Linked DNA regions of Sus scrofa. The protein of the gene in region 5 purifies or fractionates together with the protein of the main gene of each other region. This does not show direct contact. Links are inferred from orthologs where the notes say so. Each region holds a gene or a part of one and is shown on either strand. Other genes may lie near its edges.

Evidence for each region. Proteins that work in one complex are often made in the same cells at the same time.
Region 1: the proteins of STK26 (region 5) and CTTNBP2NL purify together in Homo sapiens (affinity purification with mass spectrometry; 4 studies listed by BioGRID and IntAct, with this or other methods). This does not show direct contact. The link is inferred for Sus scrofa from reciprocal best matches to the Homo sapiens genes STK26 and CTTNBP2NL.
Region 2: the proteins of STK26 (region 5) and SLMAP purify together in Homo sapiens (affinity purification with mass spectrometry; 5 studies listed by BioGRID and IntAct, with this or other methods). This does not show direct contact. The link is inferred for Sus scrofa from reciprocal best matches to the Homo sapiens genes STK26 and SLMAP.
Region 3: the proteins of STK26 (region 5) and SIKE1 purify together in Homo sapiens (affinity purification with mass spectrometry; 4 studies listed by BioGRID and IntAct, with this or other methods). This does not show direct contact. The link is inferred for Sus scrofa from reciprocal best matches to the Homo sapiens genes STK26 and SIKE1.
Region 4: the proteins of STK26 (region 5) and CTTNBP2 purify together in Homo sapiens (affinity purification with mass spectrometry; 4 studies listed by BioGRID and IntAct, with this or other methods). This does not show direct contact. The link is inferred for Sus scrofa from reciprocal best matches to the Homo sapiens genes STK26 and CTTNBP2.

Annotation. Positions count from the first base shown.
Region 1 is NC_010446.5:108,009,043-108,014,947, forward strand, and holds the start of CTTNBP2NL (CTTNBP2 N-terminal-like protein), read right to left. Parts: upstream 3,723-5,905; 5' UTR 2,504-3,722; exon of another isoform or gene 2,191-2,503; intron 2,173-2,190; exon of another isoform or gene 889-2,172; intron 1-888. UniProt on the Homo sapiens protein: Regulates lamellipodial actin dynamics in a CTTN-dependent manner. Associates with core striatin-interacting phosphatase and kinase (STRIPAK) complex to form CTTNBP2NL-STRIPAK complexes.
Region 2 is NC_010455.5:39,570,661-39,576,682, reverse strand, and holds the start of SLMAP (sarcolemmal membrane-associated protein), read right to left. Parts: upstream 3,723-6,022; 5' UTR 3,319-3,722; coding exon 3,121-3,318; intron 1-3,120. UniProt on the Homo sapiens protein: Associates with the striatin-interacting phosphatase and kinase (STRIPAK) core complex, forming the extended (SIKE1:SLMAP)STRIPAK complex.
Region 3 is NC_010446.5:105,777,797-105,783,517, forward strand, and holds the start of SIKE1 (suppressor of IKBKE 1), read left to right. Parts: upstream 1-1,999; 5' UTR 2,000-2,091; coding exon 2,092-2,250; intron 2,251-2,483; coding exon 2,484-2,589; intron 2,590-3,707; coding exon 3,708-3,850; intron 3,851-5,603; coding exon 5,604-5,717; intron 5,718-5,721.
Region 4 is NC_010460.4:28,127,903-28,133,962, reverse strand, and holds the start of CTTNBP2 (cortactin-binding protein 2), read right to left. Parts: upstream 3,723-6,060; coding exon 3,416-3,722; intron 1-3,415. Other genes in the region: LSM8 homolog, U6 small nuclear RNA associated, read left to right, coding at 3,721-3,751, 4,994-5,034. UniProt on the Homo sapiens protein: Regulates the dendritic spine distribution of CTTN/cortactin in hippocampal neurons, and thus controls dendritic spinogenesis and dendritic spine maintenance.
Region 5 is NC_010461.5:108,234,113-108,239,367, forward strand, and holds the end of STK26 (serine/threonine-protein kinase 26), read left to right. Parts: intron 1-1,035; coding exon 1,036-1,129; intron 1,130-1,512; coding exon 1,513-1,575; intron 1,576-1,657; coding exon 1,658-1,794; intron 1,795-3,132; coding exon 3,133-3,157; 3' UTR 3,158-3,557; downstream 3,558-5,255. UniProt on the Homo sapiens protein: Serine/threonine-protein kinase that acts as a mediator of cell growth. Modulates apoptosis. In association with STK24 negatively regulates Golgi reorientation in polarized cell migration upon RHO activation.

The DNA of each region.
Region 1 (5,905 bases), on a different chromosome or scaffold from region 5:
AGGAAAAATAAAGTTAAATCAAGGCAAAAAGAAATGGATTGTTTATATTAACAAATGTACCATATATTATCAGTAAATTATCTTTCTAGTCTACCCTAAGGTGTCAGCTTCAAACTAAGTTCAACAAACACTTATTTTATTTTGCTTTTTAGGGCCGCACCCTCTGCATATGGAAGTTCCCAGGCTAGGGGTTGAAATGAAGCTACAGCTGCTGCCCTACACCACAGCCACAGCAACGCAGGACCTGAGCCACATCTGCGAGCTATACCACAGCTCACGGCAACGCCGGATCCTTAACCCACTGAGTGAGGCCAGGGATGGAACCTGCATCCTCATAGATCCTAATCGGGTTCGTTAACTGCTGAGCTACGAAAGGAATTCCCAAAGAATTTATAATTTAATGAGATAGATTAGACGTAGACATAAAAAAATCTTCACGTACTATGCTTTTCAACACCAAACAGGTGTTAAAAAAGCTAAAAAAAAGACTTCCAAGATCCAAACGTGTGTCAAACGGATCTTGTTTATTGTGCCAAGTAAGTCAAAGAGCATTATTTGCTTTTCCCTCTGGGCTCATCAAGGCTCAGGCAGTCATTACAACTTTGGCTTCCTTAGTCTCTTACCTTAGTTTTTTTCTGTTCTCTGCTCATGTAATGAGATATATCTTTTTGGGATTTCCTGTTCTGCTTTTAGTTTTTTCTGCTGCATATTGCTGGGGGCCCACATCCTACCCTCCTATCACAGTAGACTTTGTGTCTACTGGAGAGAGCCTCCGCAGTGTCTTCTTTGAGCCTTTTTACTGGAGATCTGGAAACAATCACTGAGCAGATCTGTGGGCACCAAGACTGGCTCTGAAAACTTCGAACCTAACTATTCAGAATTAATTACCTTTAGGAGGTCTACCTTCACAAAGTCTCATCAGGAAGGTAGAGGACAGTCCTCTGTGATTCTAACTCCTTGCATCCCACTCAGTATCTTTGGCTGAAGATAACAGCAGAAGACTTCAAATTAAAAGCGAAAGAAGCAACGCTAACAAATATGGCAAATTTTAATATTTGAAAGTGCTAGCAACAGATGATTACTGGGGATTCAATGGTATTAACATTAGGCCAAAACCATCAATATTCTTCTGCACCTCACAAAATGAAGGCCTTTATGAGCACCCTACAGAGACACTTTTTGGTAGTCATGTGTGTGAATAGCCAGAGTTTACCTTGCTTTTCTTTATCCTTGTCTCTAAGATTTAAAATTTACTTTCAATTTTCATCCCCTGAATTTTGGTAGAAGATACTGGTCTTAGAAGATCAATCAACAGCTCTCTCCCTACATATATATCGGTATCACCTGGAAGGAAAAACCTACCATAAAATCAGGACTAAGGACTAACCAAAGGCCACTGGACCAGATTAATCATAAACCTAGACCACTGAACCTGAATTTTTTTCAAACACTTCCTGCCTTTTGTTTCAAAGGAATTATACCTTCAAGGTTAACTGCAGTCTCCCTGAGCAACAGAGGAGCCCACCCTAGACTGGGAGATACTCATTCCTAATGTAAAGTTCTTTATTTACTTATCTGTACTGTTTCACTTGAAAGCATGCCGTTATTCACTGACAGTCCAACAATATACACTTGCATTCCTAGGCACACAGGGCCAACCCCGTAGATACCCAACACGCCCACCTCACTTTGAAACACAATAAGGATGGTTTTTCAAGATCTCAGGGAAGAAGTAGGGTGTAAAGCAAAAATGAAACAACTCAAACCTAAAAAAATCCCTTAGAGGTTCGGTTCTCCCTCAAAGAATAGAGAGTAAAGGTACAAAGGGGGTGGGGAAGATTCCTATTTCTCCTCCCTCCAGAATCTAAAAAAGTCTCGAAACAGGTGAGCCCTCGCCAAGAGAGAAAAGAGGACCCAAGGGGCTTCGGAGGAAGGCTGAGGATCAGAGAATGGGGGATGGGAAGAACCCAGGTTGGGGAAGGCTGATTTCGTCCCTGGAGCTGGATGTCTAGGTCGGGTCTTTGATTTTTACTTCGACCTCTCTCTTTTTTGAAAACACTGATTTTTATCTTACGGATGAAAGGAGCTCTGGTCCCACCACAGTGGGCAGGGACAGGTGTAGGAAGGGAATGTCTGTCTTTCCCGGGGTACAAAATGGGGGTGGGAGGCGGCAGACTACGGAATACGAACCTGTATGTCCTCTTCCAAGGTTGAGGAGCTGGGCGAGGGGGGCCTTAAATGGGGGACTTGTCAGAAGGGCAGCCCCTTCTGGGGAGTTGGGATTGAAGGGGGACAATAAGTAGCTGCGAGCACCCACGAAGGATGAGGAGCTGCCTCCTCTGGGAATACCGGGAGGTAGAGGAGACCGCCCCGCCCCCTCAAGGGATGGGCGCGAGTGGCATTTGGGACGGTGGCGGGAGGACTCCAGTGGTCCTACCCTTGCTCTTCTCTCGAGAATCCGGACTCCCAGCCACCGCCAAGCCCCAGCACCAGTGGCTCCTACCTTTTCCCTGCGCTCTGGACTCGGCTCCCGGCCGCCTCCGCCAGCCGCTGCATCCACTGCCCCCGGAGGCCCCGCCCCTCAACCGCCAGGCGGGGGCATTGGCATTCCGCAGGGCCAGTCGTCTCCTCGTCTCTTCAGCCCCCGCACCAATCCGAGTCGGCTGGAGGCGGGGCTTCTCCAATGTCATTTACGCTCCTCCCGGGGCCCCTGGATCCCTTTTGTTTGGGGAGAGCCAAGCTGGGATTGAGTGCGCGTCATTTCCGGGAGGAAGCGCCGTTCTCCGGCCGGGGCTCCCGGGTGGGCTCGCGCCTCTCCCCGCCGGGCTTCTGCAACTTTCCTCCTTCGATGCGGCTCCTGAACAGGACTGTGGCTAGTGTTTACCGTCGTGGTACGGGAAGCTTAGGAAAGGCCGGTTTCCGGTGCCCTGATTGATCGGGCATATTAATGTTTCATTTCATCCAAAATGTTAATAAGTGAAGTGTGCTTTAGTGTCTATTTTAGAAATAATTGTTGAAAACCTGGTAACATGGCTTGCCTGCTCTTTTTTTCCTTGGATGAGCTTCTGCTAGAAGCAAGGACGCAAAGATGCAAAACCCGGAGGACCATCCCCCCCACTTCTCTTTTCACATTACTTTTAGAAGAGAATAGTAGCTCTGGACCCCTCCGGGCGGGGAGCCGGGACACGGGTGGCTCCGGAAGAGCACAAACCCGGCCCGACCTGCCTTCCAGGTGGGGGTGGAACGAATAAAATCTGGTTGTCTAGGTTTTCTTGTGTCCCTGGCCCCAGTACACCCCGGGCTAGGGCTTTTGCAGTGGCGTTGGGACAAAGAACAGTAGAGGATGCAAGGAATGTCTGTCCCTTGCGAACACAGAAATGCAGATCTTGCTGGTGGCAGCAAGCCCTACCAGGACCAAATAATCCAGAGAGGGGAGAGGATGCATCCCTTCCTGAGGTCAAGGTTTCTGGATTCATTTTCCACTTCACAGATTGATTCAATGACCTGTTATTTTTAGGTATAATGTAATAAATACTTACAATATGATGCATAAATAGTGTAAATTTTAATAATATTATTCTAATCTTCACAGTTCTTATTAAGCAAAACAGTATTAGGGGTCAGGTACTCACCCAGGCAGACTGCTTCAAGCCAGATGCAGCCCTGTCCTCAAGCAGTTTACAGTCTAGTGGAGGGATGTGGTCAGTCTGTGTGATCAAGAGGGAAGACTGAAGAAAATAAACCAATATTAGTGTCATCACTGTGCCAGTTACTTTCACATAATGGTATCTTATTTAATCTTCACTACCATATGAAAAATATTTCCTAACCTGTAAGATAGATAGCACTCTGTCCATTTTACAGATGAGATAATAGAGATTCAGAGAAATCAAGTAAAGCCATAGAGGTAGTAAATGGTAAATAATTTCCAACAAGGATCAGTGAACTATGCTACATTCTGCACATCTGCTCCTATAAGGAGGACTGGTCCAGAGAGTGGATGGCTAAAAACAGCATTGGAGACAGAAAAAAGCTCCTTCCCTCCCCCTGTTGACTGTAGGCTTGAGAGGATCATCTCTATATAAGAAGGACAAAAAGACCGTACTGAGGTGCTCAACAGCAGCCCAAGTGCTTTTGAAGTAACAAAGTAGGATGTAGAGAACTTCAGAAGAGCATCATTCTCCGTATGCAGGAGACTGACAATCTGAAAGGCAAGATGAAGGGCCAGGAACACAGTAGGTGCTCAATACATACTGACTTCACTTGAAACAAAATGTCCGGAATGGTTAAAAACAGAGTTTAAGTGCTGGACTAGGCCCACGAATTTGAAAAATCCCATTTCCTCCTCCTCCCCTTTGCCCTGCGTTATGGGTGTGCAATGAGGAAGTGCTTCATTGCCTGACAATGAGGCAGATGTGGGAGAACAGGCTATTTTCTGCTGGCTTCTGAGTGAGTCACTCTAAGTTGTCCCAGTGAATCAGCTCCTCCCTCCTGCCCCTCCTTCCCTTTGTTAACCTACCACCACCCAGCTCTACTCCCAGGCTGACCTGGTGCCTACTTCCTTTATAGCAGCTCCCTTGACTCCCTGAGCTCCCACATGTCCATTCCTGAGTGTGGGAGGACCCAGCCAAAATGAGATCATCCTTGCTTTGTCGGATTCAGTGTCCTAAGGGTATTCAGATTGCTCTCCTTTTAATTTATCACCTCTGGAGCTGGTGAAAGAAGCAGGTCTTGTGAACTTGAAGTTTTGTGATGCTTCAAATATATAAAATGTGTGCATAAATTTAGAGTGTGGTACAAAGGTGTACACAGAGGTTGAAAGTGGGTTTGTAATATTTTAAATTTGTATAACAACATATCATTTTAAACATACCATTTGAATTTAATTTTTAAAAATGGAGGAGTTCCCGTCGTGGCGCAGTGGTTAACGAATCCGACTAGGAACCGTGAGGTTGCGGGTTCGGTCCCTGCCCTTGCTCAGTGGGTTAACGATCTGGCATTGTTGTGAGCTGTGGTGTAGGTTGCAGACGCGGCCCCCCCCGCGTTGCTGTGGCTCTGGCGTAGGCCGGTGGCTACAGCTCCGATTCAACCCCTAGCCTGGGAACCTCCATATGCTGCGGGAGTGGCCCAAGAAATAGCAACAACAACAACAACAACAACAACAACAGACAAAAGACAAAAAAAAAAAAAAAAATGGAAATATAGTTGACTTACAATGTCGTGGTGTTAGTTTCAGGTATACAGCACAGTGATTCAGTTATACATATATGTATATATATGCACGTATATACATTTGTGTGTGTATATATATATATTCTTTTTCAGATTCTTTTCTCTTAAAGTTTATTACAAAGTATTAAGTATAGTTCCCTGTGCTTGTTGTCCTTATTGGCTATTTATTTTCTATCACAACTTAGCATTTTTATGTCTATTATTTTATCAATGTGGCAGTAAGTATTTATTAGATGCCTACTGTGTGTCTGGTAACAATTTATTAAGAAGTGCTAAAGATTATAGAGTGTGTTAATTTTTCTCCAAATTGGTAAACTTCCTAGGTAGGTGTACCTAAATGTTTATGGTTGGTTTGGGGAGGAAATGGTGGAGTATAAGTGCTTTAGACTGGAAGTAAACAAATCTGGGAGTTCTGTAGGATTCCTCCTGCTGCCACAAGTTGTATTAGTTTCCTAGTGCTGCTGTAACAAATTACTACAAACTGGGGGGTTTAAAACAACAGAAACGTATTCTCACTCAATCAGGATGCTAGAAGTCTGAAATCAAGGTGTTGACGTTTTAGTTCCTTGGCGAGGGGTATTGGTGGCTATGGGTCTGAGGCAGGATCCATTCTGTACTACTCTCCTAGATTATGGGGTTTCCCAGCAATCCTTGGCATTCCTTAGCTTGCAGC
Region 2 (6,022 bases), on a different chromosome or scaffold from region 5:
GTGTAGGCCGGTGGCTACAGCTCCGATTCGACCCCTAGCCTGGGAACCTCCATATGCTGCGGGAGCGGCCCAAGAAGTGGCAAAAAGACAAAAAAAAAAAAAAAAAAAGTGTTACCTCGATTTCCCCCTGCCTACACTTTGCAAATTTCCTATAATATACATGTATTACAAGAATAATCAGAAAATTTTAAGTGTGATTTCTTCCAGCTTCTATTGGTCCTCCCTTAATAGCAGAATGCAACATTCACAAACTGAAGGTCAAACAAAAGGGCATATTGCCATAATTTTCCACCTCCCAGGTAAGGTGCCAATGTGGACAAGGTTCTCAACTTCACATGTTTAAATTTAAAAAATAACTTCCACATATATCATCACATGAAAGATAATAATGTCTCATTACCCTCCTTACATTCCATAGCACTACAAAAAATTGCAAAGAGCTCCCTAGATAGTTTCTTCTTCCCCCCACCCCAAACACCCTCTTCTCCAAGGACTGACCCCTTAATAAGGGCCGGGAACAGGGTGCTAAGTGATTTACATGATTATCTCAATCCTGGAAACAATAAAAGATACTATTTTCATCCCCAGAAAATTGAGGTTTAAAGATGTCTAGGGGAAAAAAAACAAAAACCTGCCTAAGGCGATGCTTATAGGAGGAGATTCTAGTATTGTACAAAGGAATTTGCTATGAATATACATTAGTTCCTAGGGACTTTTGTTATAACAAATTCTCATACTGGAAATTTTACACAGAGAAAACAATAAATGATATTTGGTCAAACTATCAATTTTCTTTGTAACTGTGTACCTTACCATTATCTGACACATAACAGACGCTCAATTAAAACCTAGCATCTGTTCAAATCTAAAGTTTAAACAGTTAATTCCTAAAACAATTTAATCCCATGGCTAGATCTGACAGGCTATTTGTTTTAAGTAGATTAGGTGGTTTAATAATCAATAATTATATCTATACCTCAAGTAAAGGCCCCTACATCCTAAATGTATTTTACTAATAAAGCAAGAGGTGGGAAAGTTCAAATGGTAGAAATAAGCTGTGTATCTTTTAAAGATCAAGTTTGCTAACAACAAATTCAATTCAAAACTTGTCATCTCAATTATACAATAAAACCACTCTTTTTTTTTTTTTTTTTTTTTAGGGCCGCACCTGCAGCGTATGGAAGTACCCAGGCTTGAAGGTGAATCAGAGCTGCAGCTGCTGGCCTACGCCACAGCCACAGCCCACAGCCATTCCAGACCTAAGCCGCATCTGCAACCTAAACCACAGCTCACAGCAATACCGGATCCTTAATTCACTGAGTGAGCATGGGGATGGAACCCATATCCTCATGGATACTAGTAGGGTTCAGTAAGCCACGGAGCCACAACTGGAATTCCCAATAAACACTCATTATTAATCTATTCTTAGTTACTGTAAAAATAACCAAATGTGAGAGTTTTAGTATAACCATGAAAAGCACTGTATATAGCCGCTATTTTTCAAATAAGTAAAAGAAAAAAATCTAAGCCTCCTTTAAGTATTAAACCAAAGGCAAGAAGGTGTATTTGCTATGTACTTCAAGCAAAATTAGTATCTGATTAGGTTGGCCCTTAACTCTTGCCCAGGGACATAAAATGAAAAAATATGAAAGCTAGTTAAGGCACTAGCAGTTAACTAATGTTTGAATTTACTATAAAGATGAATTATTTAAATTACTACAGGTAATCTATGAGGAAAAAGGGGTATGTTCCACAGATAAATGAGCAAATCGTGTTATACTTTAACATACTTTTCAGTTCTCATCATATGTACAGAGTAAGACATAGCTATTACACAGGCACATGGCACTTGAGCAATCTTTTCCTCCTTTCTTTGAAAAAAATGATTTATATAACAATTCCTTAATTCAGTAGCAACAGAAGTATTGCTTTCTCTCTTCCCTGTGAGGCTCAGGGTTTTTTTTTTTTTTTTTTTTTTTTCAAAATACTACTCTTCTAAAAGAACACTTAAATTCTTCTCTTAAAAAGGATTTAATCATTCAACTCAGAGGGACCAAAAAGTCAGGAGGTGAAACCCGAGATATTCTTATTAGTCTTACATAACTTACTCTAAGTTGGAACTGATTCAGTAGCTTAACTAAAGTTAGGTTTTAGGACAAAGATGAGCTCTTTAGTATACTCTCCACACACACAGATAGGTTTAAAAAATCAAAAGGGTCTTAGTTAACTTTTTTCTTGTATCCTTAAAATATAAGCACCCCATGTATAGTTAATCAGGGTGCCAACATAAAAATGCTAAAATGGTCACACTTATAATGAAGAACACTAAATTTATCCTATCACATCTAGGTAATGCAAAAATCAACAGAACTGGATATAATTTCAAAAAATAAATTTTAACACTGACTTTTAAATATCACCTCTATAAGTATGCATTAGGTGTTTTTAATAAATGCTGCAGGGAACATCAAAAAGTGATCCTCAAAAGCAATTGGTATATGTTCACCTAACTTACAAACAAAATTCTGAAACTATAAAGTTACAATTGTTCATACTTAAATTGGCTTTGCAAATTACTCCCTTGTAGGTAAATACGTATCAAATCTTTCAAAAATGTAAATTTACACAAACAATGTCCTTGCTAGAAAGACCCTGCTCTGAACTCAACTCAAAGACACTGTGTTAACTGCATTTCACCATTGAGACACTTGAGCCCCTGTGTAATACTGGCCATGGATTCCCTGCATTGCTTTGGGAACTGCTACTTGCTTCATCAAGTACTGAAGTGCAAATTCACCTTTCTTAAAAGACTAAAAGCGAGAAGCCAAGTTTCACTATCTAGTTTTCTAAAACAAATTAGGGTTTGGGATTTCACTGGGAATGACCATATTATCAAGATGTCATCGCCCTCTCAGGGTGTTAAATTACAATACCTTCTCTGTTTTCCATTCAACCACCTCAAACAAATTTCCACTAGAACCAGTCACACAAAAAGTTGGTTCTCCATGGCCTTGCTGAAAGTGTCCTCTGGGTGCAAGCCCTGGGATCCTGCATACATTTATGCAGAAAGGGCAAAGAGAAACGAAAAACAAAGATTGTTAGACAACGTAGTGACATTACCTTGCCCGTCTTGTGATCAAACCAGACGAGAGCATGGTTCCTTGACAGCACTTTGCAATCAAAGGTAGCATTATTCTGTGCTGGTCGACAACGGGCCACCGAGCGGCCGATTTTAATGGGCTCGTCCAGGTAGACATGACGCTCTTGAAAAGGGTGTGAGTTCGGGCGGCAAGTGAAGATGGCCAAGGCTGACGGCATCGAGGACAGACTGGGGGTGTCTCTCCTACTAGGGACAAAGAGGAGGTCCACCGGATCCGGACCCTTCACAAGCCTCTACCCCTATCCCCCACCAAATTTTAAATTAAAACAAACTGCACATTGTCCAAGCATAACCAGTGAACATCAACAACTCTTCACTTGGGTGGGAAGACGAGTCAGCGCAAGCCCCATCACCTCCTTTAAAACCCAGCAGTGCCCTGATCACACCAAGTCCCCAACTGGTAGCTTTCAGTCCATCTTCTTCCCTGGGAAGAAAAGGCTCAAACATTGGACAGCTTCGGCCAAGAAAACTCCTGGAAGACAGTTTGGGGACTGGAGGTATCCAAGCAGATGAGTCACACGCCAATTCTTGGGTTTTGTTTGGGATCGCGGCCGCTTTCCCCCCTCGGTGGCGGAAATGTTGCAGCACTGCAGCATGAAGGAAGGGTCGGTTCGTTGCGGCCAGAAAGGTCCTTTCAGGCGGAAGAAAGGTGTAGCTGAGCACCTCTGGGCAGCCACCGCCCGTCTTCGAGGGCCTCCGGACTGGAGGGACGAGAGGCGATGGGGCCAGCGCAGGGGTCTAGACGGCCAGCCGGACAGTCTGCATTGCCCCTCCCGCGAAGGCCGGCCGGGAGGTGGCACAGGGTCCCCGGCCCCGCACGAGACGAGGTGGCGGTGGCTGGAGTCCCTGGCACGAGGAACGGGGACCGGCGGGAGCTAGGGCAGCGGCCAAGGCGGGACTCCGGGCACCTGGCGGGCGTCCCCGCGACCAGGGCGGGGATCCGGCTCAGCAGGCGGGTGGTGACCGAGCGAGGCGCGACCCCGGGGAGGATCCGGGGTCTCGGCCCGCAGGAAGTTGGTCCCTGGACTCCTGGGCTCCTGGCTGCTCCTCAGCACACCGGCCACCTCCTTTCAGAGTCTCTCCCGCGAGGGTCGCATCTCAGGGACCGCAGCTGAAGCTCCCGACGGACGAGGAGGTGGGGGAGGGAGGCTGGCCCGGAGGTTGGGGGAGAGGCCTGGAGGCCCCGGGTTGGGTCCGCCGCAGCCTCCACCGCTCGCAGCCGGTGGGACAAGCTCAGGCTCTGCCCGACGACAGAAACTTTCCGACCTGGTGGGGAAAACATCAAAACAAACGGCCGTCAGCGCCGGTGCCCGCCCACCTCAGCCCTCAACCCCCTCAGCCCACCCCAACCAGCCCCCGCGACTGGCCACGACTCGGCCGACCTTTCCGCTGAGGGGCCGCGGGGACTGGGAGCCCGGACGCCAAGACGGGTCCAGCTTCTCTTACCGCCGCCGCCGCCTCAGCTTACCTTGCCAGCTCCGGCCGCCATAGTGACTCTGACTGAAACCTACCCGGTGCACCGCCACGGGAACGCGCACCCTTCAAGGGCCCTCCTACCCCTTCTCCCGCGCCGTAGTCGGGGCATCACGTGACAGACGCCGCGGAAGCCATGATGGTCAAGGGCAGAAAAGAGGGCAAGCCTTTTTAACAAGCCTCCGCACGCCATCTTAGTTAAGGGTTGGACGCTTCAAAACCGTGGGACACCTTTGCCACCATTTTGGTTATGGGCAAGAAAAAATTTGACCTGTTGAAGGTTTTCTAAACATAACGTGCCAACTTCCTACTTTGCCATCTTGGTAAGAAGGCGCTAGCATTTACTAAATTTTATTCACTAGAGTCCTCATTGAAAATATCAACGCCCAAGGAGACCAAGCCCATCCAAAGGAGCTGTTATTAGCATCCATCTTAGTTGTGGGCAGCACAGCTCCCCGACCTCCACCCCAACAGCCGCCTTAGGTGTGAACAACTAAATTCCTACAAGTCTCAGGATTTGTGCATCTGTAACAAGATTCATCCGCCCTCTTTAAAGTCTTCGCTATGTATCCTACCCGGAGGAAAAACTCTTTCTTAGTCCTTGCGTTCCATTTCAAATGACAATTCTTCTCACTGGGCCTATCTTATTTCCCAGGCCCCTAGCGCTGACTCTACCCCGAAATTAGTGCAACTTCTGAAAGTTTAAAATCATGTTTTTCCAGAGAGAGAGGTCCTTTGGAATCAATGATGGCGTCATTCTTCAGATTCCTTTGACAACAGGCTCCACCACTCTGTGACCTTGGGGAAGTTTCTAAACCTCTACGAGCTTCGTTTTGTCATCTATTACTTGGAGATAATAGTTAACGCACCTGTTGTGAGAATTCAAGGGAGTAATCTATCTGCTCATGAAAGAGTAAATACTATTCAATTCTTACATACAGGGTTTTGGCCCTGTTCTAAGTTCTGTGCTGGGCCCTGAAGACACATAGATGAACCAAATCTCAATCCTTGCCCTCTGAGAGTATACCTGGGTATTGTGAGATAAGGATAGGGAGAGGAGGGTTTCAAATAGAGATAACTTCACTTTGATGCAATCAGGGCTAAGATGAAAACAAGCACTAGCCACTAAAGGGGTCTTCTATGGGAGGTAACTGAACTCAAAGAAGGATGGTAGGAAAACCACGATAAACATGGTATTTGCTGAATGGTTTCGTAAATTTCCAGGAAGGTTTAGTGAAAAAAAGAACAAGGCTTTTATTTTTATTTTTTTGCTATTTCTTGGGCCGCTCCTGCGGCATATGGAGGTTCCCAGGCTAGGGGTCTAATCAGAGCCATAGCCACCAGCCTACGCCAGAGCCACAGCAACGCAGGATCCGAGCCGCGTCTGCA
Region 3 (5,721 bases), on a different chromosome or scaffold from region 5:
GGCATTACCACAAGCTCCTGTGTAGGTCACAGATGTGGCATATGATCCAGCATTGCTGTGGCTGTGATGTAAGCTGGCAGCTGCAGCTTCAATTCAACCCTTAGCCTGGGAACTTCCATATGCTGCAGGTGTGACCCTAAAACCAAAAAATGATAATAATAATTTTAAAAAGAGAAGAGAGTTTGACATACACACTTGACAAGGTAAACTAATAAAGCAATTAACAAACAGCACAAAAGTCATGCTATTCTAGTTAAATTTGTTTTCAATTAATAACTGAATTAAAATTGAAAAAATAGATAAGCAGAAAATAATGACTCCCTCTTACACACATTAAGATGGCTATTAAAACAACAACAATGACAAGAACAGGGAGCACGCTGCTGGTGAAAATGTAAAATGGTGCAGCCACCATGAAAAACAGTATGGTCAATCCTCAAAAATTTTTAAATAGAACTACCATATACCCCCAGCAATTCCACTTCTGGGTATACATTCAAAAGAACTGAAAGGAAAGACTCAAATGGGAGGCTCATACTGAGTGAAGTAACTCAGAAAGAGAACGACAAATACCATATGATATCATTTATATCTGGAATCTAATATATGGCACAAACTAACCTTTCCACAGAAAAGAAAATCATGGATTTGGAGAACAGACTTGTGGTTGCCAAGGAGGAGGGGGAGGGAGTTGGGATGGATTGGGAACTTGGGGTTAATAGATGCAGACTATTGCCTTTGGAATGGATTAGCAGTGAGATCCTGCCGTGTAGCACTGGGAACTATGTCTAGTCACTTACAATGGAGCATGATAATGTGAGAAAAAAGAATCTATATGTGTAGGTGTAACTGGGTCACCATGCTGTACAGTAGAAAATTGACAGAACACTGTAAACCAGCTATAATGAAAAAAATAAAAATCATTGCATATAAAAAAATCAAATGGGTATTTATTACATGTGTTCATAGCAGCATTATTCACAACAGCCAAAAGGTGGAAACAACCCAAGGGTCCATTAATGGGTGAATGGATGAACAAAACATGATATGTACATAAATATAGATGTAAATATAGATATCAGTTAATATTTTTGTCTTTTTTTTTTGTTTTTTTTTTTTGTCTTTTTGCCTTTTCTAGGGCCACTCCCACAGCATATGGAGGTTCCCAGGCTAGGGGTCTAATCAGGGCTGAGAGACCCTGGCCTAGCCAGAGCCACAGCAACTCGGGATCTGAGCCACGGCTGCGGCATACACCACAGCTCACAGGAACACCGGATCCTTAACCCACTAGGCAAGGCCAGGGATCAAACCCGAAACCTCATGGTTCCTAATCGGATTCGTTAACCACTGCGCCCCGACAGGAACTCCCAATATTTTTCAGTCTTAAATGGAAGGAAATTCTGCTGTACATGCATGAAGCTTGAGGACATTATGCTGAGTGAAATAAACCAGTCACGAAAATGACAGTTATGATTTACATGACTCCATTTATAAGTGGTACCTAAAGTAGTCAAATCCATAGACAGAAAATAGAAGAGTAGTTGCCAGGGGGTAGGAGGAAGGCAGAATAGGAAGTTAAAAATTTGACTGCAGAGTTCCAGTTTTGCAAGATGAAAAGAGTTCTGGAGATAGATGGTGATAACTGCACAATTTGAATGCACTTAATACTACTGAACTATGCTTCAAAAATGGTTAAGATGGTAAATTTCATGCATAATTTACCACAGCTTAAAAAAAGAAAATATTTTTAAAAGAATGACGATAACAATACACATTAATCAAAACCACAAAGGAAAGGAGAAACTTGGACTAGCCCAGCCATAACTCAACTTGACCATCAGGCCTTGCAGGAAGCCAAGGGCGAGGCAAGGGGAGGCCTCCGCCACTGGGCACATATAAAGGCTTCGGGGAAACCGCGGCTTAAAGCGGGTCACCAGCTGACCTGGCTCCACTGCGCAAGCGCTATAGGCCATCACCGAGGCGCCTTTAAACGTACCCGGAAGTGACGTCACTAACGCTGAGACAGGCTCAGGACGGATCTGAGAGGTTCCTACAGCTGACCGGCGCTGGGGCTGTGTTCCTGTGGAGGCTATGAGCTGCACCATCGAGAAGATTCTGACCGATGCTAAGACGCTACTGGAGAGGCTGCGGGAGCACGATGCTGCGGCCGAGTCGCTAGTGGACCAGTCCGCGGCGCTGCACCGGCGGGTGGCCGCTATGCGGGAGGCGGGGACAGCCCTTCCGGACCAGGTCAGGCAGAGGGTAGGGGTCCGTGCCCTCGGGTTCTGGGCACTTTAGGGGTGGAGGGTGAGATAAAGTGGGAACGCGACTTGGAATATATTCCTGGTCCCCGAGGGCAGCGGTGAAACCTTTTTGCGGGGTCGGGGATGAGAATGTTACCCTGGAACACTGCCTCCTGCGTCTTCAGTTGCATTTGCGGCTGTCTTGTTTACGGCGCGATTAGTATGTCTCTGTTTGTCCAGTATCAAGAGGATGCATCCGATATAAAGGACATGTCCAAATACAAACCTCACATTCTGCTCTCCCAAGAGAATACACAGATTAGAGACTTGCAGCAGGAAAACAGAGGTTAGTCAGGCCTTTTTGTGTAGTTATGATTTTCTCATATGCAGTAATATTTAAAGAGTTCTTGCAGAACTGACAAACCATTCATAAAGATACACATGCTGTATTGTCCAAGTCAGTACTTTTAACGGGAAAGTTGTCCTGTGCCGGCCCAGTAGCAATAAAATGTGTTACATTCCCTTTTCAAGGTCATATAACTGATTTTTTATTTACAGGCAGCTCATCAGAAAGGTGTGTAGTAGAGTTGAATACTGCATGGCTTATTAGGTGTCCCCAGATGGAGTTAATATGCTTTGTGTGTGTGTCTTTTTGTCTTTTCTAGGGCCGCACCCACGGCATATGGAGGTTCCCAGGCTAGGGGTCTAATTGGAGCTGTAGCCGCCAGCCTACATCACAGCCACAGCAATACCAGATCTGAGCCACGTCTGCTACCTACACCACAGCTCAGGGCAACCAGATCCTTAACCCTCTGAGCAAGGCCAGGGATCGAACCTGCAACTTCATGGTTCCTAGTTGGATTTGTTAACCACTCAGCCAGGAGAGGAACTCCTGGCGTTAATATCCTTAAGGGCTTAAAATTTAATTTTTAAATAATTGAAATAAACATTAAAGTTAAGATCAAAGGGGTTTTTTTATGTTCTTGTGCAAGGCGGAAGAGCTAAGTTTTATCCTCTGGTGTATATTCTTGGGCTTAATGAATACATTGCTAATGGTAGTAGTATGAATAGCTATTTGTATATCAGTTTTCAGAGGGAATTACATATACCATACACTTGTATTCTCATAGCTTTATTTTGAAGTAAACAAGCCAGGTATTTATTATTACAAGGCAGATAAGAAATAGAGGTTAAATGATTTGCTTTAAGAGTAGTAAGCTAATAACTCAAAGAACTGGACTTAAACTTATGTCTTCCAATTCCACATCCCATGACTCTATCAGTTGATGCTGCTTCTGCCTAGACAGATATTTTTCACATAGTTAAGTTTTGGGGACTTCAACACTGATTTACAACTTTGGATTCCTAATATCCCATGGAATGCCATAAACTTCCAACTGTTTGAGTGTGGCTTTAGGAGGTATCTCTCAGACATCACTGCCAAGTTTTTTTATTTTTTGATAGAGCTATGGGTTTCCTTGGAGGAACACCAGGATGCTTTGGAACTCATCATGAGCAAATACCGGAAACAGATGTTACAATTAATGGTTGCTAAAAAAGCAGTGGATGCTGAACCAGTCCTGAAAGCTCACCAGTCTCACTCTGCAGTAAGAAACTTTTGTGAAAAAATTTTAAGGGAACTGCATTTAAATCTTGAAATTGTTTTGGATTGTGTGTTCACTTTTGAAGAAAACTAAGCTGTTTTCCTTTTGTGTTTTATCACATTTGCTGTTGGTTTTAGTATATCTTTGTAAAGATATGAATAAGAAGACTGGGGAAGGTAACATTGTTAATCAACTGTACTTTAATAAAAAAAATTTTTAAAGTAAAAAAAGGTGGGTAAAGAGCTGCTCAGGGCCTTTTATTTGAGTAATTCCAAAGTTCCTCCCTCCCTCACTGAGATCTTGTTTCAAGATGTTAATGAATGCTTCGTTCTTCTACCAGACAGAATGCCAGTTAATGTTGAAGGGGCTCAGTAAATACTTGAGTGGTTATTATTGTATATTTCACTAGACTTTAAGCTCTTTGGTTGTAAGGAGCTTGAATTCCATCTATTATCTCTAACATGGTACCTGGCACATAGCAGGCAGTCTGTAAACTATACAACATCAGTATCTATACTTTAGTTACTTATGATTTAATTTGGGAGACCCAGTAATTATTCTGTTTTCTTAACATTTTCATTTTTTCTGTTATAGTTGATTTACACAGTACTTGCTCATAAGTTTGTGGAGTGTTTCACAGTTCTCATTGTATATTCACATGTACTATATCATTTAATACATGATATAGTATGTATTACTATATCTCACTCTTTGCTGCAGTGGAATTTCTGGAAGATAAGTTTCATCTTAGATTCCACTGAAAACATTTTACTGACTTTAGTTAAAAAACTCAGAGGAAATGGGTGTTTTGGGGGGGTTGTTTTTTTGTTTGTTTGTTTGTCTTTTTGCCTTTTTTAGAGCTGCTCCTGTGGCATATGGAGGTTCCCAGGCTAGGGGTTGAATTGGAGCTGTAGCCACCAGCCTACACCAGAGCCACAGCAACACGGGATCCAAGCTGCATCTGCGACCTACACCACAGCTCAGGGCAATGCCAAATCCTTACCCCACTGAGCAAGGCCAGGGATCGAACCCTCATCCTCATGGTTCCTAGTCAGATTCGTTAATCACTGAGCCACAACGGGAACTCTGAAAATAGGTATTTTAAATATGCAAATGGCTTTCATCTGGACAAAATAATAATCTGTAATCCAGAAGCAAAAACTTGAACCTTGAAGGAGACAGAATTTAGTTTATATTAAAAACTTGCTGGGAGTTCCCTTTGTGGCTTAGGGGTTAACAAACTCAACTAGGATTCATGAGGATGTGGGTTCGATCCTTGGCCTCACTCGGCATTGCTGTGGCTCTGGTGTAGCTTGGCAGCTGAAGCTCCGATTGGACCCCTAGCCTGGGAATTTCCATATGCCGTGGGTGCAAGCCTAAAAAGCCAAAAACAAAGCAAAACAAAACTTGCTAAGAGATGTGACCAAAGATACAATAAGATACCTTGGAATGTGGTAAGTTTGGTGCCAATAAAAATATTTGAATTTAAGTTAAATAGCCATTTAGAGATACTCTCCAACATGCAATGAGTGTTTAGACCAGAATCGATTTTCTGGAAACAAATTACCTGTGAATATCACAAGGTAACTTTATTGTGGCTTTATCTCTGAGGACTGAGATTATAGTGAAACTTCTGTGTAAGCTCTGTAACATAGATTAAGTGAACTTTTAACATCATAGTGCACATGTTCTCATGAACTTCCTATCTGTAAAAAAAGATGACTTTTCCACCTTTTTTTTTTTAATATCATCACAGGAAATTGAGAGTCAGATTGACAGAATCTGTGAAATGGGAGAAGTGATGAGGAAAGCAGTTCAGATGGATGATGACCAATTTTGTAAGATTCAGGAAAAACTAGCACAATTAGAGGTAA
Region 4 (6,060 bases), on a different chromosome or scaffold from region 5:
GAGATAGGTTGGTTCTCCAGACCTTTAAGGTATTGTGTATGCCACTGACAGTGTGACCAGTCTGTTCGGTGGCCTCACCACTGGCTGGTGCACAGTGTCAGACCTACACAGTTCTACAATTTGGCCCCATCTTCTTTATTAACAAGCACCCCTGTCTTTTCCTGTATCTCCCTACTCTGGCCATTCTTCCAATTCACCAACCACTATCACTAGGCAGTCTGTGATTTGCTTTCTGCCTCCCTGCCTTTCTTACTCACTATCTTTGAATCAAATGTCTTCTGCCTTTCCACTCCCACTGCTACAAATCAGAAACTCATACCTGGAGTCTTGCTAGCCTTAACCTCAATTCTTACCTCCACCAAATAATTAATGTCTGATTAATTTTCCTGAAGTTAATTTGTACTTTTACTCAAGCCCCAATTTGTCTTACCTTTTTCATAAAATGTTACAAGATTCTAACATATATCCATCTTCCTCTTCCTTAAGCAATTAAAATGTGTAGTACTCAATTTGTCCAATCAGAAAAAAAGGCAGTGAACAAAATATTGTTAACAGAACAAGCTTCGGGACTGAGAAATGGGTTAACTGTGATATGGTCTATGTCCATGAGCAATAATAACTGAAATTTATAGAGTGCTTATAATATGCCAGGCTTTACCAAAACACTTTTAGTCCCCCCAAAATTTGATGATGTAAGTACCATCATTTCTCCATTTTACAGATGGGGAAGCTGAGGCAAGAAGGTTAAATAATCCACTCAAAATCACATAGGATCCAAATCTAAAGAGGCTAGCTCCTAAATCAGTGTTCTTAATTATGATCCTATACACTTCTCAATTAGCATTTCAGTTACATTTGATTTTTTCCATCCCTTAAAAAACTGAGTTAAAAATGCCTATCTTAATACCTTAAAAGGAAAAATAGATATAGATGAGAAAAACACTTTGTAACTCATAGTGTTAAATCAACTAATATTTCCAAATCAATTACCTTTCTTTATAATTTGGGATGTTTATTATTTTTCCATACACTAATTATTTTGTGTTTATAATTAAAGCTCTGCATCTATTCAGGAATTTCCTTGTAAGGAGAGATCAGAATTTATTTATGTCCTTTTCTGCCTTGGAGAAGCCTAGAAAGATTTATTCAATGTATACTGCTATTTGGTTGACAATTTTGGAACCTGTAGAAATACAAATCAATAAAAATAAAAGTAAAAAGTTCCTATCATATTAGGTTAAAAGTAGAATTTTAATTTTCCATTTATCATTTTTTCCCATGAACCATTCACAGGAAAGTGCAAATTCAGTTTTCTGAGAATCTAGTATGAATCTGATTCTTCAGGTTAATGAAATACAGGATACAAAGGGAGATGAGTTACGTCCTGCTTCTCAGGGGAATTATTAACCAGAGAGAGACACATTTTATATCCATTAGTTTCTACTAATGGAAAGTGACTCCAAGAATGTCAGTTATCTAGGAAACTCCTTTCTACCCTTTCCCATCTCTTTTCTGCCCTATTCTTGATTGTTGTTTTAGATATAGGCAGCTGTATTTACTACTGAGATAGAGATTCCTGACTGGGTTGAGAGATATATAAAATATTGAGTTCATTTAAATCTTAAGAGAACTAAATACAAAATAAAATTTAGTTTTCTGCTCAAAGTTTAGATTTAGAACTAATGGAATAAAAGTGCTTTATTAACAAAATAAAAAGCATTCCAACATACTCTGACTCTTTAACAGTATTTAAATGAGTAGTACATTGATTTTGATTTAAGTTCCAAATTTTACCTCTGTTTAACTTTTCAATTGTCAGATATTTACATAAATTATTTCCCTCTGTTGGAGCTTTAACTTATTTCTCTATTTTAAGGTGCTGATTTCTCTAAGTCCATGTATTCCCAAAGTCACAAGGCTAATTTAGTTAAATCACATATGTAATGTCTGTAGCCAGACATAACTCATTTTTTTTTGTCTTATTTTTTTCTTTTCTTTATCCACAGGCTTTCTCTCCACATCTGTAATCATTAGGGACTACAAAAAACATGGTATTAAAATGTGTGTAAAAAAATTTCAAATAAAAGAGATTTGGGGATGCTCCATAAACACCACACATCTGTTATTTATCTGGCATATTATTAATTTAATGGAAACTACATAAGGTCATAAACTTGTAATGCACTGATGATGAAATTACTTCTGTAAATCACTATCTATTTTAGCAAACATTTTCAATATAAACACATTCTATGAAAAACTACATGTATTACTCATTTTAAATATTTGGCATGTTACTTTTTAAAAACTCCTTACTAATCATCTCATTTATCACTAATTTTCTTTTAGTTCAATGTCGAACATCTGCAAACCACACAATAGCTTCATTTTTTTAATTTATGGAAGCTATTCACCACCACCCAAAAAATCCTAAGACACTCACAACCTAACTGCTGAGTATATGTGATTTCAAAACAGGTCAGAGTAAGTTTCAGTACATAAAATACTAAACATTGGGGAGTGATCGGTATGCTGTAATGAAAACAGATGCTTGCCTTTTCAGAAGAAAACTGCTGACACTGCAAGAGTTTTCAAATCCACAATTTTTCAGTTAAAAAAATCACAAGCCTAACTGTAATCATAAGGCGCTTTTGTAAAAAGGGCAAATAACTCTCACTGGTATTTTGTATATAGATAGATGCTTTTCTAACTTCAAGTTGAAATTAGGGTTCCACAGTAAAATAAGAGTGAAACTTTCTAATAACATTGAAATATCCAAAATGATGGCTGTGGCAGCATCTAAGGCAACTGAGGGCCAAATGAGTTGCTGTTACTCGTGCCAGGATACCCACAGTTTTGTTACCACCGCATAACTAGGCCGTTTGGTGCTTATCTAGAAGACCCTTCCTGAATCAGTCCTTTCCAGGGTGCTGCAGCGAACCTGTCTTAGAGTAACTAATTTCACCCTGAGGGTAGGGAGACCTTGCCGCGCGGTAAAAGGCTGCTTTCTAAGGGAGACTCACACACTTTTCTGTTTGTTTCTTAAATAAAAGAATAACAACGCTTCCACGACGGAGCACTTCTAGAGGCAAACGCAGACTATGCGAGCATGCTTTTTATTGCTGTGTTCTCCAGACATGTATACCGTACGGTTACAACGTGTGCAACTTTGCTCTGGGCCATTTAGCTTCTAAAAGGTTAATTTTCGACCTGTGCGGCAGAAAATCAGATTCCACTTCCCCGCGTAGACATCTCATACCAGAACAGCACTCATCTATTTCGCCTGTGATGAAAACACCTTATCCCGTTTTCTCCTGCCTTCTCTGTCTTCAACATTTCTCCCCAGCAACTTCGGCCACAAAGCCTTCCAGTCCGCTAGTAAACCCGCTCGCCCACCGTCTCCTCACTACCCCACCTGCAGGAAGCTGCTGCTTCTCTTCCGCCTCCCCTTCGCTTCGGTCCCTTTCGGCTTCCGAGATCACCGCCCTGAAACCAGCAGCAACATACTGCGCACGCGCAGTAAAATGCCTATCGCTTTGCCTCTCGGGTACGGTCGGTTGGCCGGTTTCTTTCCATCTCTGATTCGCGGAGGCTGCTGCGCAGTAACTCTCGCGGTATTTGCGCCGCCCGTCGGCGGGAGCCGCCGCTGGTTCCTGGCGGGCGCTTTTAGCTTCTGTAGTCACCCTCCCTGCTGTGTGGCCAGCGGCCCGGCCGAACATCATGACGTCCGCCTTGGAGAACTACATCAACCGTATCCTCGAACTACCCGCCGCGGGTTTTAGGTGGGGCAGTGGCGAGGCCGGTGTCTGCGCTGAAAGGCCGGGGGTGGGGGTCGGCGGGAGGTTGGGACGCTTCGGGGCCCGGGATGCGGGTGCGGGGATTAAGGATCTGGGACCCACCAATCCCCCCGCTGGGGCTGGAAACCATCGTTTCTGCGAGTCCAAGGTGTCTTCTAATTTTAATCTGAAAAAAATACACCAACGTGGTTATTCCGAACTTTTCCTTGTCTCCATAGAAATCAGCTATTGATTCAACTTTACTATGTTTCCTAGGGTCTATACGGTATAAGATGAACGGTTTTACTAGCGGTGGCGATGGTCTTATAAATCCATGTATTTGTTTTATGCATAGGCTTTGCTAATCGATCGAGGATAGCAAAAAAAAAAAAAAAAAAAAAACCCAAAAAACCTTTACATATTGTGCACAAACTAAGTTTCTGCCCTTTTACCACTTGAAAATTTAACTTCTTTGTTGATGGAATTGAAATGATGTTTGCTGTCGTGATGGGTCGTTATGAGGGGCAGGTAACTTTAAAAAGTCTGAGTGAAGTACACTGTACCCCTGTTACCGTTTTAAGTCTCAGGACAGAAACACTATGTTGTGCTCTCATGTACAAATTTGGGACAAAAGTGAAATGCTAAATGCTTTTAATGATGCAAGCATATTAATATCAATGATGACACTGATTGTAGCTTTTCTTTTGAATCCCAGAAGCCAAGTCCTAAAAGACTGCCTTAAGGTGCTTGAAATTCAGGATTGATTAGTTAGCCTTGATCCAATTTTTGTTTTATAGACGAAGAAACAGATCTAAGAAAGGGAGAAATATCTTTCCCAGTTGCCAGACTGGCAATATTCCTCAACTTAAAAAAAAAAAACAACAAAAACCAAACAAACAAAAACAACACCCCAGCTGTTTTAAGATCAAATAGACTGATCATGTACAGAAAGGGACGCTCTTTTTCCATATTTTTCTAATTGTGTAATTGTCACAAAGAATTGAACAACGTAAAGTATTCAACACAGCAACAGATTTGTACATGAGAGCAAATGTGTTGAATAGTTGTATCTTAATTCTGTCACCTTTTTTTTCTAGTAATTTAAATAGTTGTATTTTAATTCTGTCACCTTTTTTCCTAGTAATTTAAACCATTGTCAAATGTAAAATTTTCACTTTGCCTTCCCTGAGAAACACTTTCCTTGATTCAGTTATCAGGAACTGTTGCTGTCATTACTTCTGATGGGAGAATGATTGTGGTAAGTATTTGGCCTATTCCTTCTCTGCTTTCTTCTGGGTTTATCGGTTGTAGATTTTTATGTAGAACCTCTGATCTCTAATACCTAGGCATCACAGTACAATTTCATTGCAGTTTTCTTGTGATTCAGGTCTTTATCTCCGACAAAGAACAGCCTGTCCTTTTTTTTTTCACCAGTAAACATTGAGTGTAAGTTACATACAAGGATTCTAGAGGCTAGGATGAATAATAGACTCTGTCTTCAGGGAGCTTCTAGTCTAGTCAGCAGGTATCTGCCTGTATTTTGTATTTATCTTCCTCTTTCATCCTTTATTTCCTTCCCCATTCAGTGATGTAACATTCACTAAATTGTAGAAATTTCTTTGAAATTTTGTGTATATCTCCTAGAAACTTTTTAAAGTATTTTTTAGACACTACATCTATAAAATAAATGTTAGGACTTGTATGATGTTGGAGTTCCCATTGTGTCTCAGCAAGTTAAGAATGCGACTGGTCTTGGTGAGGATGCTGTTTGATCCCTGGCCTCACTCAGTGGGTTAAGGATCCAGCATTGCCACAAGCTGCAGCAAGGCCTCAGCTGCAGTTCCAATTCAACCCCTAGCTTGGCCCTTCCATATGCCACGGGTGCTGCCATAAAAAAGAAAAAAAAGACTTGTGTGGTGTTAATACTCTTTAGATGTTCTTAGGTTGTATGACTTCTTGTCTTCTATAGAATTGTAGAATACAGTAGGATGAATGGCTAAATTTATTTCATCTCATTTGTCCTTTTATCACAGTATCCCATTTTAATTCCGGAAAAATCTTAGATTCTCCCCTTGATCTGTTCCTTGATCTGAGAAATTTATCCTATGATTTTGGCTACTTAATTTCTTCATTTATAATTCATACAGTTGTTCACTTTCAAAGAAGTTTTAAGGTTGCTAAACTTCATTGTCTATCTGTATCTAATTCATATAATTCAATATTTTATTTTCCCATTCTGGAGTTCTCTTTTTGATTCTTTTTTTTTTAATCGTTGTGATTTTCC
Region 5 (5,255 bases):
CAATGAATTTGGAAACAGATTTTTTTCTTAGAAATGAATTGCTTTAGTTTTAAATGGTCTTGGTCTAACCCCTAGTGGATACTTAAGTATATTACAAAATTTTGGAACAAGATTCAATTTAAGGTGTTTTCTTAGTTTGCCCAAAGTGATACGGAGCTATGTCTTCTCATACTTTGGAGGCAACCTGCAAAATCCCTCTGGAGAACTAACTTTTCCCACTTTTCTTGGCCATGTACCAAAATGGTCAGATTGGTACATACTTATTTATATCTGATTTCTATCCCCTAAAATGTTGCATTGTTTTTTAGCTGCAGCAATTTACATTACCATTTTAGCCTCTAAGTCCATAACTTACTTAATTCAGCCTAAAAAGTCTGCCGGCTACACCAGCATTTATTCCTCCACTGGGTGAACTGATACCGAGGTAACACCAATTTTTTTTAGATAATACCTGCATTTATGAGAAATCTCCCAACTTTTGAAAAGGATAAAAAAAAAAAGATCAGGATAGGGGTTCCCACTGTGGCACAGAGGGATTGGGAACCTGGCACAGTGGGTTAAGCATCCGGCATTGCTAATACCCACGGCTCAAATCTGATACCTGGCCCAGGAAGTGTATGTGCTGTGCAATGGCTTAAAAAGAAAAAAAAAAAATGAGGATGGTTTTTTGTACCCTGTTCTACTCTCTGTTGCCTTAGCTGCCCATGACACTCACCCATGAAGCCTTAAAAAAAAAAAAAAACAAATCACTAAGCCACACTACAGGGGATCCTGATCCAGTCAGTGGGAAGGGGTGGGGGCCGGCCTTTATATTATGGAGTTAGAGGTCTTCACATGTGATTCTGGTACACACTTTAGAGTTGAGAACCACTGCTGCTGTCCCGTAGAAAGTAGTGTCGACTTGAAGCTGAAGATCAAATGATTTTTTAACACATCGGGACAGTTTTCCATTCAGAATCTGACAGCATTGACTTGGTATTTTCACCACCTATACCATTTAGGAACTTATGGAAGTATCTTTGGCCATCTCTTTAGGGAATCCACCACCAGGGAAAATAATACTCATCCCGAATGGAGCTTTACCACCGTGCGAAAGAAGCCTGATCCAAAGAAGCTACAGAACGGGGCAGTATGTATATCCAGATGTTCACCTCCTCTTGTTAGGACTAGATAGTGCGATTATGATGGCCAAACATTGTTAGAATCGAATACCCCTGAATGCCTGTCCGTTAGTTTTGAGCTAATTAAGAAATGATCAGAGAAGTCTTTTAAGTGGCCATTGGTATGTTTTAAAATGCATTTTCCCTAGAGATAGCTAAACCCGGTGGAAACAGGTCTATCAGTTGGAATCCTAGAAGTTAGAGGCCTCTGGATGATATAGATGGGAGTTATTGATGGGAAGAAAGCATGAAGACTTGCCTTACATTGGGTCTTTGGGGGGAGGGATGCAAATTAACACACATGAATGATTATTTTCATTTCATGTATATAATTTATAACATTTGTTCAAAGGAGCAAGATCTTGTGCAAACCCTGAGCTGTTTGTCTATGATAATCACACCTGCATTTGCTGAAGTAAGTACAGATTCATTAGCTTTGGAGATCTATTTGAAGAAGTATAGTAATTGTAAATGTTATAATTATTGATCTTTCTCAGCTTAAACAGCAGGATGAGAATAATGCTAGCAGGAATCAGGCAATTGAAGAACTAGAGAAAAGCATTGCCGTGGCCGAAGCTGCCTGTCCTGGCATCACAGATAAAATGGTGAAGAAATTAATTGAAAAATTTCAAAAGTAAGCTTGAAATGTCATTTTTTAAAATCGATTTTGGAGCGTTACCACTGTAGCTCAGCGGGTTAAGAACCCGACAGTGTCACTGAGGATGCAGATTTGATCCCTAGCCTCGCTCAGTGGGCTAAGGATCCAGCGTTGCCACAAGCTGTGGCATAGGTCACAGATAATGGCTTGGATCTGACATGGTTGCTGTGGCCGTGGCATAGGCCGGCAGCTGCAGCTCCAGTTCTGCCCCTAGCCTGGGAACTTCCACATGCCACGGGTACAGCCCCCAATAAAAGCAAAAGGAAACAAAAGAACAAAACAACTATTTTGACATGTTACTGCTGGATGTTCATTTATGGTGTCATAATTACCTACTTGATTCAGTCATTTCGATTATTCCTAACCAAGTCCATTCTTAATAGTCACATACTTGAAACCTGTTCTGTTTGTGGCCCATCTTCAACACTAGCTTTTGGATTCTTCTCTTCGGGCAGTACAAGGTAGTTTGCCACTGAATGAAATGGCCTGTGGTTTTTTTTGGTTTTGTTTTGTTTTGTTTTCCTTTCCCTGTTCGTAGGCAGGCGTATAGACAAAAGGTCACAGGGCATGATCTTATTTGGACCCTTGTAAATACCATTTAGAAATGCTTTCATTCTTGCCACTCTTCTTATCGCACTGCTATTCACATAGTTTCAGTGCCAAAGTTCATCAAGTTTAACCCCCATAAGAAAAGTTAAGGAAAGAATTTTAGGTATAGAAACTCAGTGAAGACTCTGAAAGGTTCTCATGTCTATATTTCAGTGTCTATAGTGCCTCTTAAAGTGTTGGTTTAATTTTGTTCACATTCAGTGAAGTTCTTCCATTTAATTTTTTAATTCTCTTTTTAAACAAGACTTTTGTATGCATGTACAAACACACGCAATTCCTTAGCTCAAGCAAGTTATAGAGCAGTACTAATCTCAGCCTTAATCTCGTTATATCACTTCTTTGTATTTGTGATGCCACTGGGATCAAGTTGGAACAGACCAGACAGCCTGTAAACCACATACTCTCCTAGATCTTTCTTGCTGATAAAGTCTGTTTGTACTCATCAGCTAAAGCCCCTCTTAAAATCCTTTCGTTTTTAATGGAAAACCTGCCCTCTCTTCGCCAGCTTGCAAACGAATCAGTTGCAAGTTGTAAAATCGGACGCAGAAGGGATTTTGGAACTCCTTTCTATTTTAATGTCTACATGATGAGAGGCAATAGAAAAAAAAATTGTTTGCTGCATCAACTCGATTGCAGAGTTCATATGAATGAAAAATGTGCACATGCATAGTTATATATCAATTTAAGTTTTTCTTAATTTTATAGGTGTTCAGCAGATGAATCCCCCTAAGAAATGTCTTGTTATTGGCTTCTCTTTCATATGGACCCAGAGAAACCCACCAAAGCTACTTCAAGCTTAACAATGCTTAACTCATGAGCTCCATGTGCCTTTTGGATCTTTGCGACATTGAAGATTTGAAAGAAGCTATTCAACTATTTTGTGATGGTGTTTATCATTTTATATTTTAAAGAGATTATTTTGTAAGAAATAACTTTTAATACTATAGTTTCAGCTGTATTCTAGAAAAGGTTGAGATACAGTTTTGCTTTTAGGTATCATTATTACTTAAGTTACTAGGATGAATACCTTTCATGTTTTGATCTTTAGTTAACTGTACACTCATGAAACATACAGGTATTTCACAGTCATCCTAAATATTCAACTTTCGTAAGTCATCAAGCTTCAAAAAGCTTTTTTTTTTTAACACAAGCATATTCTAAAAATGACTCTTGGAAGGGAGGTGGAGACAAGTCAGACATTCTTAAAACAGAAGTTTTTTTGATAAGCTTTTAGAAATGACATCTGGAAAGGTATTGACTCTTCTACCAAGTTGATGGTATTCCAGGCAGCTCAGTGACAATCACATTGGAGAGCCCGGTGTTGGAAGCATTTATAGGCAACATGTAGCAACAGAGGTACCTCTTGGTGTGCAGTATTTACCTTCTCTTTTAGAAGAGGCAATTGACCCTTCTTTAAGTTAACACGTTGGAAAGTTAAAGCAATACCAATTAGCCGAGGATGGGTTTTTTAGTAATACTGGAAGAACTAGTCAGGATTCATTTTTAAAATCACCTCAAATCACATATCATATGCTTGGATTTGGGGAGCTCAAAAGAAGCTGATCATAATGTGATCATAAATACCTGATCAACAGGTATGACTATAATTTACACCAGCATATTTTTGGCATGGTAGTAAAATGTCTTATAAACTATTTATACATTTTTTTTTTGTTCTTCAAACTATCCAGTACATGTAAGCATCATTTGTTCATTTTTGAAAGGGTATTTAAGCATTTTTTGATTCACATGAAAATAATCATAGTACAGGATGATTTCTGCCCGCACAAAGGTAAGTTAGACTGTACAGTTAAATTTTCAGTTATATTTATGGTACTGTTACGTGGGTAATACCTTTTTCCTTTAAGCCCAGTATATATATTATGCTTGCCTAAGTTCTGAAGTGGGGCTATATTTCAGTAGTTGTAGAATTATTGATATTGATTAGTTTTAATAGTTAATGTTTTATTGTTTGGATCTGCACAATTTGGTTTTTGCACAAAAGTCATTTTAATACATCTGAATAATTGCCAAATATTAGAAGAAAGGTGTTCTTGAAGTAAAGAGTATAGTTTTTACAGTGGCCATTACCTCCTCCTTTTTTTGTAATAATGCAGACACTTGAATAAGTAGTTCATTGCGCGTCATATGCCCAGCAGATTTTTGCATTGGTGCCTATACTGTAACAATTACTTTTAACACGTATTTTGAAGTAATAGTTCAGTTAAAATTTTCAGCTGCTGTGTAACGCTATGTAATTGCAGTTTATAATTTGTAGAGGTCTGGTAATAGTTTTGCAAATCACATCGTGTACTAAATGAATATTTTTGTAAAAGTAAAAGCAACAAATTTTTAAATTGATAATTTGAAACTTTACAGCGCAACTGCATCATGGATAAAAAATTGTATTGCTTATTCATTAGAGCTATTAGTCCTGTAAACTGTTTCTGGGTGAAGCGTACTTCAGTGTTTTGGGGGGCTAAAAATAAATATTTAAATTTCATGGTCCTCGGCATTTTTCTTGAGGTGGGGCATGGTATCACATTTTAATTTTTTCAAATTATTTCTCCTTGGCCCTTTAATTTATTGTTGGAACTTTAACACCAGTGTCTCCATTGGAAACTGGAAGATAGTCTTTTTTTTTTTTTGCTTTTTAGGTCCGCCCCCGCAGCATAGGGAGGTTCCCAGGCTAGGGGTTGAATTGGAGCTAAAGCTGAGTCTGCGACCTACACCACAGCTCACGGCAGTGCCAGATCCTTAACCCACTGAGCGAGGCCGAGGATGGAACCTGCCAACCTCATGGTTCCTAGTCGGATTCATTTCTGCTG